2 linked regions of the Callithrix jacchus genome follow. The protein of the gene in region 1 binds, or shares a complex with, the protein of each later gene. Links are inferred from orthologs where the notes say so. Each region holds a gene or a part of one and is shown on either strand. Other genes may lie near its edges. The genes, in order: CFB and CFD.

What was found.
Region 2: the proteins of CFB (region 1) and CFD are in contact, whole or in part, in a crystal structure (PDB 2XWB), measured with the Homo sapiens proteins. The link is inferred for Callithrix jacchus from reciprocal best matches to the Homo sapiens genes CFB and CFD. Residues at the interface, in NP_001701.2 of Homo sapiens: Glu298, Ala301, Ser302, Ala332, Asp333, Ile469, Asp470, Glu471, Ser472, Glu518, Tyr519, Lys585, Asp758, Glu759, Asp760; in NP_001919.2 of Homo sapiens: Asn157, His158, Ala159, Gly160, Arg161, Arg162, Arg182, Thr183, Asp186, Arg200, Val228, Cys229, Gly230, Asn231, Arg232, Lys233.

Annotation. Positions count from the first base shown.
Region 1 is NC_133505.1:39,468,269-39,472,333, forward strand, and holds the end of CFB (complement factor B), read left to right. Parts: coding exon 1-7; intron 8-324; coding exon 325-453; intron 454-735; coding exon 736-837; intron 838-912; coding exon 913-1,050; intron 1,051-1,556; coding exon 1,557-1,654; intron 1,655-1,792; coding exon 1,793-1,910; intron 1,911-2,098; coding exon 2,099-2,252; intron 2,253-2,352; coding exon 2,353-2,429; intron 2,430-2,629; coding exon 2,630-2,730; intron 2,731-2,828; coding exon 2,829-2,961; intron 2,962-3,042; coding exon 3,043-3,092; intron 3,093-3,351; coding exon 3,352-3,507; 3' UTR 3,508-3,548; downstream 3,549-4,065. Other genes in the region: NELFE (negative elongation factor E), read right to left, coding at 3,763-3,860.
Region 2 is NC_133523.1:804,886-809,357, reverse strand, and holds the start of CFD (complement factor D), read right to left. Parts: upstream 2,903-4,472; 5' UTR 2,877-2,902; coding exon 2,822-2,876; intron 1,422-2,821; coding exon 1,265-1,421; intron 1,175-1,264; coding exon 997-1,174; intron 273-996; coding exon 15-272; intron 1-14.

The sequences.
Region 1 (4,065 bases):
TATGAAGGTCAGAGGTTAGGGAATGGTGGGAGGTTCACTTTGGGGTCAGGAACCTCAGGGGTGTTTTGTGGAGGGGGTCATGAGGCTACCTTGAGGGTGATAGAGAGGACCACTTTGTAGTAAAAGGTTGGACTGCAGGGTCACTGGCAATGGAGGTTAGTGAAAACCTGCTGGGGCTGGAAGGGCCACTTTGTGGTCAAAGGGAAGTCTGTGCAATGATCACTTAAAAAGTTGAAAGATGTGGGATCTCAGTTGCAGACTGGCCTCTGGGGTTAAGATGGCTTGGAAGACCAGGGGAGGTGATAATCTCTTCCCTCTTCATAGACCACAAGTTGAAGTCAGGGACTAACACCAAGAAGGCCCTCCAGGCAGTGTACACCATGATGAGCTGGCCAGACAACCCTCCTGAAGGCTGGAACCGCACCCGCCATGTCATCATCCTCATGACTGATGGTCAGAAGGGACCTCTCTCCTGTCCCAGTCTCCCCTCCTTCTCAGACCAGCATGTGACCCTTAAGCCCACTTGTAACACTATACTCACAATTGGAGCCCCGAATGTGATTCATAGCTGGTTGTTAATCTCTCCTATGACCCTTTAGAATAAATTCTTCCTAAAGCCCTGTTACCAACTATCTCTATCCCTTCCTCAACTTGCTCACCTTGCCATGTGTACCACTGCCTCTAGACAATTTATCTTGCTTATCTCCCATCCTCATGGTCCCGACTCTTCTGCAGGATTGCACAACATGGGTGGGGACCCAGTTACCGTCATTGACGAGATCCGAGACTTGCTATACATTGGCAAGGATCGCAAAAACCCAAGGGAGGATTATCTGGGTGAGTAACCTGCCTAGGACCCAGCACCCTACTTTCTCAGGGATTGGACCCTCATCCTTCCTTTTTCTCCCTCAGATGTCTATGTGTTTGGCGTTGGGCCTTTGGTGGACTCGGTGAACATCAATGCTTTGGCTTCCAAGAAAGACAATGAGCAACACGTGTTCAAAGTCAAGGATATGGAAAACCTGGAAGATGTTTTCTTCCAAATGATTGGTAGGGAGATACAAGAAGGGAATAAAGAAGGCAACTCTCCTCAGGCTCCTCTGAAGTCATTCATTCTTCCTCTACCCCTGAAGCTCTAGTTGCCTGGAAAGGCTTTTCATTCCTCCTTCTCTACCTCCGTGTCACTATTCTTGTTTCCTGGCACTGTTCACTTCTTAACCTTAGAATCACAGAGTTCTGAGCACTTCAGAGATCTTTCTATAGTCCTACATTTGACACATGTGGAAACAGGCCAAAAGAGGTTAAGGGTAGCAAGCCAGCAACAGGGTTGGGCCTGAAAACAGCCAGGCCTCTGCCAGCTTGATCCTAAGTTCTTTTCCTTTTCACTCCCCTACAGCAGTTTTCTCCTAACACAAGGAAACAAATGCCCCTCACCTTTCCTTTTCTCCTTTTGGGCTTCTGCTCCCCATAGACATGCAGGGACTCTTCCCCAAAAGACTGCTGCCATTTGGGAATAAAGTATTCCCAGTTTTCAGCACATTCTCCTTCTCTGCCAGATGAATCCCAGTCCCTGAGTCTTTGTGGCATGGTTTGGGAACACAGGAAGGGTACCGATTACCACAAGCAACCATGGCAGGCCAAGATCTCAGTCACTGTAAGCACAGAATCCTAGTAGTGGAGACTTGGGGGAGGTGAGGTCAAGGTGAAATGGGAGTAGGGGAAGGGCAAAATGGCCGTAAGAGATGGTGGTTTGTGAAAGTTGAGCTTTCCCCCTCTACTGTTCTGTTCCCAGCGCCCTTCGAAGGGACATGAGAACTGTATGGGGGCTGTGGTGTCTGAGTACTTTGTGCTGACAGCAGCGCATTGTTTCACTGTGGATGACAAGGAACACTCGATCAAGGTCAGCGTGGGTAAGGATGCAACTGATGGTCCTGGGCTGCAGCTACGCCCTCCTACAGATCCTACACTCCACCCATCCTCGATGCAGCCCCATCCCTTGCAACCCAGACCAGTCAGAGATGGGGAAGACTTGAAGTCAGGAATGACACGGGGCCAGAGATAGGAAGCTGCCCACAAAGCAGTATCTACTCTACTTCAGGAGGGAAGAGACGGGAGCTGGAGATAGAAAAAATCCTATTTCACCCCAACTACAACATTAATGGGAAAAAAGCAGCAGGAATTCCTGAATTTTATGACTATGACGTTGCCTTGATCAAGCTCAAAACTAAGCTGCAGTATGACCCGACTACCAGGTGAGAGCATCCAGATCCCTGCTGGGAAAGCCTGGCTGGAGGACTGGGGTGAGGGGCAGGCCTGCTTTGCTGTTCCTGACTTTCTCCCTGTCCTTTATAGGCCCATTTGTCTCCCCTGCACCGAGGGAACAACTCGAGCTTTGAGGCTTCCTCCGGCGACCACTTGCCAGCAACAGAGTAAGACATATTCAGGGAGAGGATAAGGATGAGATCCCAAGAGACAAGTGGGGAATGAGAAGGAGGTGCAATAGGAAGAGATGATGCCCGGCCCAGGACCCAGCTCTAGGAAGGGCTTAGGGGACATCTGCTGAGTGACAAAGGCAATGGGGAGATGATAGTGGTGGGGGCAGCTGAAGTGACACAGTCTATTTGTCCAGAGGAAGAGCTGCTCCCTGCACAGGATATCAAAGCTCTGTTTGTATCTGAGGAGGAGAAGAAGCTGACTCGGAAGGAAGTCTACATCAAGAATGGTGATAAGGTAAGACATGGGCACCCTAAGGAGGTACTCTAGGCCCCAGCCCTTCCTAAGCTACATCTGTTCATTATCCTTCTCCATGCTTCCCACCTCCCCTACAGAAAGGCAGCTGTGAGAGAGATGCTCAATACGCTCCAGGCTATGACAAAGTCAAGGACATCTCTGAGGTGGTCACCCCCCGGTTCCTTTGTACTGGAGGAGTGAGTCCCTATGCTGACCCCAATACTTGCAGAGGTGAGAGAAGGCTCTGGGGTTGTGCGGCAAGTTCCCAAGGCCCAGGAGTCCTTTTCCCTACAGCTTCTCCTCTCCCTGCAGGCGATTCTGGCGGCCCCTTGATTGTTCACAAGAGGAGTCGTTTCATTCAAGTGAGTCCTCCCTTTCCTATCTGGGGAGATGCCAAGTGGTCAGCACAGGCCCGAAAGCAGGAAAGCTCAATGTATATTGAGCCCAGGGCCTGCTTCACCTCAGGGCCACATGTCTGGCCTGTGTCTGAACGAACAAGACTGAGCTGGGTCCCTAGTCTGATTCCTTTAGGTCAGCTAAGACACAACCAGGATCAGCCATGCTTCCAGGATTAGAAAGGAGGTCTACTGAATGATCCACGGCACCCCTCTGCCTCTGCAGGTTGGTGTAATCAGTTGGGGAGTAGTGGACGTCTGCAAAAACCACAGGCGGCAAAAGCAGGTACCTGCTCACGCCCGAGACTTTCACATTAACCTCTTCCAAGTGCTGCCCTGGCTGAAGGAGAAACTCCAAGATGAAGATTTGGGTTTTCTATAAGGGGTTTCCTGCTGGACTGAATTAAAACAGCTGCGACAACACCTGTGTTCCAGATCCTTTTGGGGCGATGGAGTGGGGAACAGGCACTGGCCATGTTGTTACAGAGATCAAACCTCACAGCCGTTTTTAAAGGCTTAACCCCAATCCCAAGTGCTGAAAAACCAGAGGCTGAGGGAGATGTGTAAGCTTCCACCTCAGTGTTTTACTGAGACCAGCATTGGGGCATATGAGGCACAAGGAATCCAGCTCTGGTCCCTAGAAGCCATCCACAAGGTTTTCCTTGTAGACATCATCACTGTAGACAATCTGGGTCCTCTTGTCCCGGTGGCAACCCTTAGGGCTGTTCTGGACAGCTAGGGAGGGAGGAGAGGAAGAGTTAAGGTCTAAAGGAGAACACAGATCAGACCCTGAGGCCGACTCTGGACTACCTCACTCCTGGCCGGGGTCTCTGGAAGCCAAGTTTTCACACTGCCCTCTGGTGGCCAGGATTGTCTGTCTCCCTTAGCTCCTTCGTGCCAACCCATGGCCAAGAAGAGTACAAGTGGATATTATGATGAA
Region 2 (4,472 bases), on another chromosome or scaffold:
GCCCGAAGGCGCACCTTGCAGGTGTCCCGGCGGTTGCTCTCCGCGCACATCAGGCGCTGGGTGATGGCGCCGTCGTGGTGCGTGCGCCGGTTGCAGGTGGCGCGGTCCATCACCGGCAGGACCACGTGCTGCAGGCGGTCGGGCCGGCGGCCCGCGTGGCTGACTGTGCCCCAGCCGGCCACGTCGCAGAGAGTGCCCGGCGCCACGTCGCGGTCCACGCGTTGCCAGGGCAGGGGGCGCACAGCAGGGCCCAGCACGGCCTCCTCAGACAGCTGGGGGTGGAGGCGGACGTCAGGGTTGGGGCGCGGGGCCGCGAGGCCGGGGAGCCCGGACGGGGGAAGTGGGCATCAGGGCAGGGGCGGGGGTCTCGGTGCAGCGGGAGAGGTCCAGGCTGGATCCTGGGTGGGGTGTGGGTGGGGGTGGGGTGGGTGCGAGGGTCCCCAGTGCAGCCGCAGAAGTCGAGGCTAGACCGAGGTGGGGATGCAGGGGGAGCAGGGGTCTTTGGGGGGGCTTCCAGCGCAGCAGGAGAGATCAAGGCTAGACCCAGGGGGAGGGGGCGGGGGCGGGGCGGGGCGGGGCGGGGCCCCCATGCAGCTGGAGAGGTCAGAGCTGGAGCTGGACCCGGGGTGGGGTGCGGGGGCAGCGGAGTTTTGGGGGACTGCTCCCAGCGCAGCAGGACTCATGGTGGGGATGCAGGGGGAGCGGGGGTTGGGGGCTCCCAGCGCAGCAGGACTCATGGTGGGGATGCAGGGGGAGCGGGGGTTGGGGGCTCCCAGCGCAGCAGGACTCATGGTGGGGATGCAGGGGGAGCGGGGGTTGGGGGCTCCCAGCGCAGCAGGAGAGGTCGAGGCTAGACCCAGGGCGAGGGTGCGGGGATGGGGGGCGGGGTCCCCATGAAGCCGGAGAGCTCGGGCTGGATCCAGGGTGGGGGTGCAGGCGGGGTGGAGTGAGGGTGGGTCGGGGGTCCCAGCAGGGCAGGAGACATCCAGGACAAACCCGGGGCGCGGGTGCAGGCGGGGCCGGGCGGACCTGCAGCAGGAGGAGGTCGTGGTCGATGGAGTCGGGCCGGCTGTCCGGGTGGCGCACTGCGCGGAGCACGTCGTACAGGCGCTTGGAGGGCTCCGGCTGCGACAGGGAATGCGCGCCCAGGAGTACCTGCACCTTCTCGTCGGCCCTGGGGACCGGGCGGGGTCCGCGGTCGGTGCCAGCCGAGCCTCCCCACCTCCCCCCGGGGCTCCTCCCTGCGCGCGCCGCCGACACTCACGCGTCCCCCAGGCAGTGCGCGGCGCTCAGCACCCACTGCTCCGCCACCAGGACGCCGCCGCACCGGTGCTCGCCGTTCACCTGCACCGATGCCATGTAGGGCCGCTCGTGGGCCACGGCCTCGCTGCCGCCCAGGATCCGACCTCGGGGCTGCGCCGCTGTGGGTCGTGGGACGCGTGAGGGCCGCGGGGTCAACTGCTCCCCTCGCCGGATCCCAGCCCTCACCCCACGGCCCGCTCCCAGCAAGAATCTCATCTCAGGGTGTGGTGATTCGTGCCTGTGACCCCAGCATCTGGGGAGGCCGAGGCGGATCACGAGGTCAGCGGTTCGAGACCAGCCTGACCAACACAATGAAACCCCGTCTCTATTAAAAATACAAAACATGGGCCGGGCGCGGTGGCTCACGCCTGTAATCCCAGCACTTTGGGAGGCCGAGGCGGGTGGATCACGAGGTTAAGAGATCGAGACCATCCTGGTCAACATGGTGAAACCCCGTCTCTACTAAAAATACAAAAAATTAGCTGGGCTTGGTGGCGCGTGCCTGTAATTCCAGCTACTCGGGAGGCTGAGGCAGGAGAATTGCCTGAACCCAGGAGGCGGAGGTTGTGGTGAGCCGAGATCGCGCCATTGCACTCCAGCCTGGGTAACAAGAAACTCTGTCTAAACAAAAAATAAATTAATAAATACAAAACATTAGCTGGGCGTGGTGGTGGGTGCCTGTAATCCCAGCTACTCTGGAGGATTAGGCAAGAGAATGGCTTGAACCCGGGAGGCTGAGGTTGCAGTGAGCCCAGATGGTGTCTCTGTAGCGGGCTGGGCAACAGACAGAGCAAGACTCTGTCTCAAAAAAAAAAAAAAAAAATCCATCTGCATCTTGGGGCCCCTCAGCGTCACAGACTCAGATGCTCCGGGGGCCAGAATGCCCGGGAGGACAGAAGCCACAGTGGGCTGGGGACCAGGGACGGATCCCAGTTCTCCACCCTGGGTGCAATGGCTTCCAACTGGACATAACAGAAATAGGGCTGACCCAGCCAGTGCCCTGTGGGTAACCCCCCATCTGGGCACCGAGGAAGGAGAGCTAAGCAGATCCCGGCACCAGTAGCGCCTGAAGAATGTCTTAGTTTATAGCGTTATTAGCTATTTCCTTCATATAATCCTTTACATATATAATCACATATTAGTTCACAGTGGGAACAATTAGTGCCCGAAGAATATCTTATTACTCGGTTACTTCCTTTTATATATATTCTTCATGCACTAATTGTGCCCGGGATCTGCTTAGCTCTCCTTTCTCAGTGCCCAGATTCGGGGTTACCTCCAGTGCCCCGGGCAGCTCAGCCAGCCGCGTGGAAGAACAGTTTTCCACGCAGACACTCAGATTCTCTCTGCAAGAAAAGCTGACCCCAGAAAGCTCCAATTTCCAATCCAAAGTTTCTAGATGGTGAGGAGTGACACTCCCCTCTTCCTGCCTACCTGGTGGGGCTGGAGGACCCTCCGTGTGACCGAGAGGGCCACCTGGCACACCCCTGCCCCTCACCCCAGGCCCAGGACCCCTTACCGCAGGCCACCACTCCTAGGAGGACCAGAACTGCCAGGCGCCCCCAGCTGTGCATGGTGAAGCCGCTGTGGTGGACACACTGACCCAGGCGGGGCCCTGGGGGTGCTTTTATGACGGTGGAGGGGGTGGGAGGCTCCCGGGAGCCCTGACTGTCAGGTGGGCAGTGCTCCAGCTGGAGAAAGGGGGACCCGCCCTCCCAGCCTCCACCCTCCTGGGGGCTGGGTTACCTCCTGCCAGACTCACACCAGAGTCAACAGGTTGCTGGGAGACCCTCCGGCCTCCGTGAGCCTGATGGCCTCTGGCCCTGGTCGGGGGGCAGTCCCTCAGATGGGCATGAAGTAGAGAGGGGGGCTGCACCCGCCCCAGCCCCCCAGCCCCAACTTCAGACCCGGAGTTCCTCCAGCTTGTTTCACAATCCCAGTTGGAAACCAGAATGTAAACAACCCACTTCCTCATCCTCCCGCCCCTCCCTTCTCCTCTTCCTCCTCCAAATTGGAGAGAAGCTCTGATGGGTGTGGGAGGGTCACTTGACACCCTTGTCTCTGTCCCCGCGGCTTCTGGGGCTTGATGCCCGGACAAGTAGAATGTTGGAAAGGACAGCGCAGAGGCAGCTGGGAAGACTGGCTACAAGAGACAAGAAAACCGAGACAAACTGGGTGGAGCCGGAATCGCGAAGGTTGTATAGAAAGTTCAGGGATGGCTGCTTTCAGGTGTGGTGTGATCCAGCTGCCTGAACAATGTCTAGTGTCTGCCTCTGGCTTCTCCTTTCTTCTCTGATGGCCTCTCTTCTCACCAGACTCCCCTGTTATGCTTCCAGGGACCCCACACTCAACCCAGTGGCTCAGTGGGCCCCTCTTAAAATTCCTCATCACTGCAGCCAAGTCTCAAAGTTGGCAGATCCTGGATCAAATGCCCACTGCCAAACTGTTCAGTGAGGGCAGGTTCTGATGAAAAGAATCAGGGCTGGCTGGGCACAGTGGCTCCCACCTCGCAGCCCAGCATGTTGAGAGACCAAGACAGGAGCCCTGGAATTCGAGGCCAGCTTGGGCAACATAGTGAGACCCCATCTCTGCAAAAAAATGAAAATACTTCTTGGAATCTGTGAGGTGGGAGTGGTGGGTCCATGGTGGGGAGGACTTCGGACATCATCCCCAGGGGGAGCAGCACACAGGATTTTCCCCATCCTTCTTTTCTCTCCATCATGGATTATTTACTTATTTATTTTCGAGACGGAATTTTGCTCTCGTTGCCCAGGCTGGAGTGCGACGGCACCATCTCGGCTCACTGCAGCCTCCGCCTCCCGGGTTCAGGCGATTCTCCCATCTCAGCCTCCCGAGTAGCTGGGATTACAGGCGCGCGCCACCGTGCCCAGCTGATTTTTTGTATTTTTGGTAGAGACGGGGTTTCACCATGTTGACCGGGATGGTCTCGATCTCTTGACCTTGTGATCCACCCGCCTCGGCCTCCCAAAGTGCTGGGATGACAGGCGTGAGCCCCCGCGCCCGGCCTTGCTTTTGTTTTACTGCAGATAGGGTCTTGCTCTGGAAGTGCAGGGACTGCGGGCCTGGCCGTGGTCAGCGCCATGTTTCACCTCTTCCCCACCAGGCTCCAGCTGCTCACCATGATTACCCTCTGTCTTCCTGTTTCATTT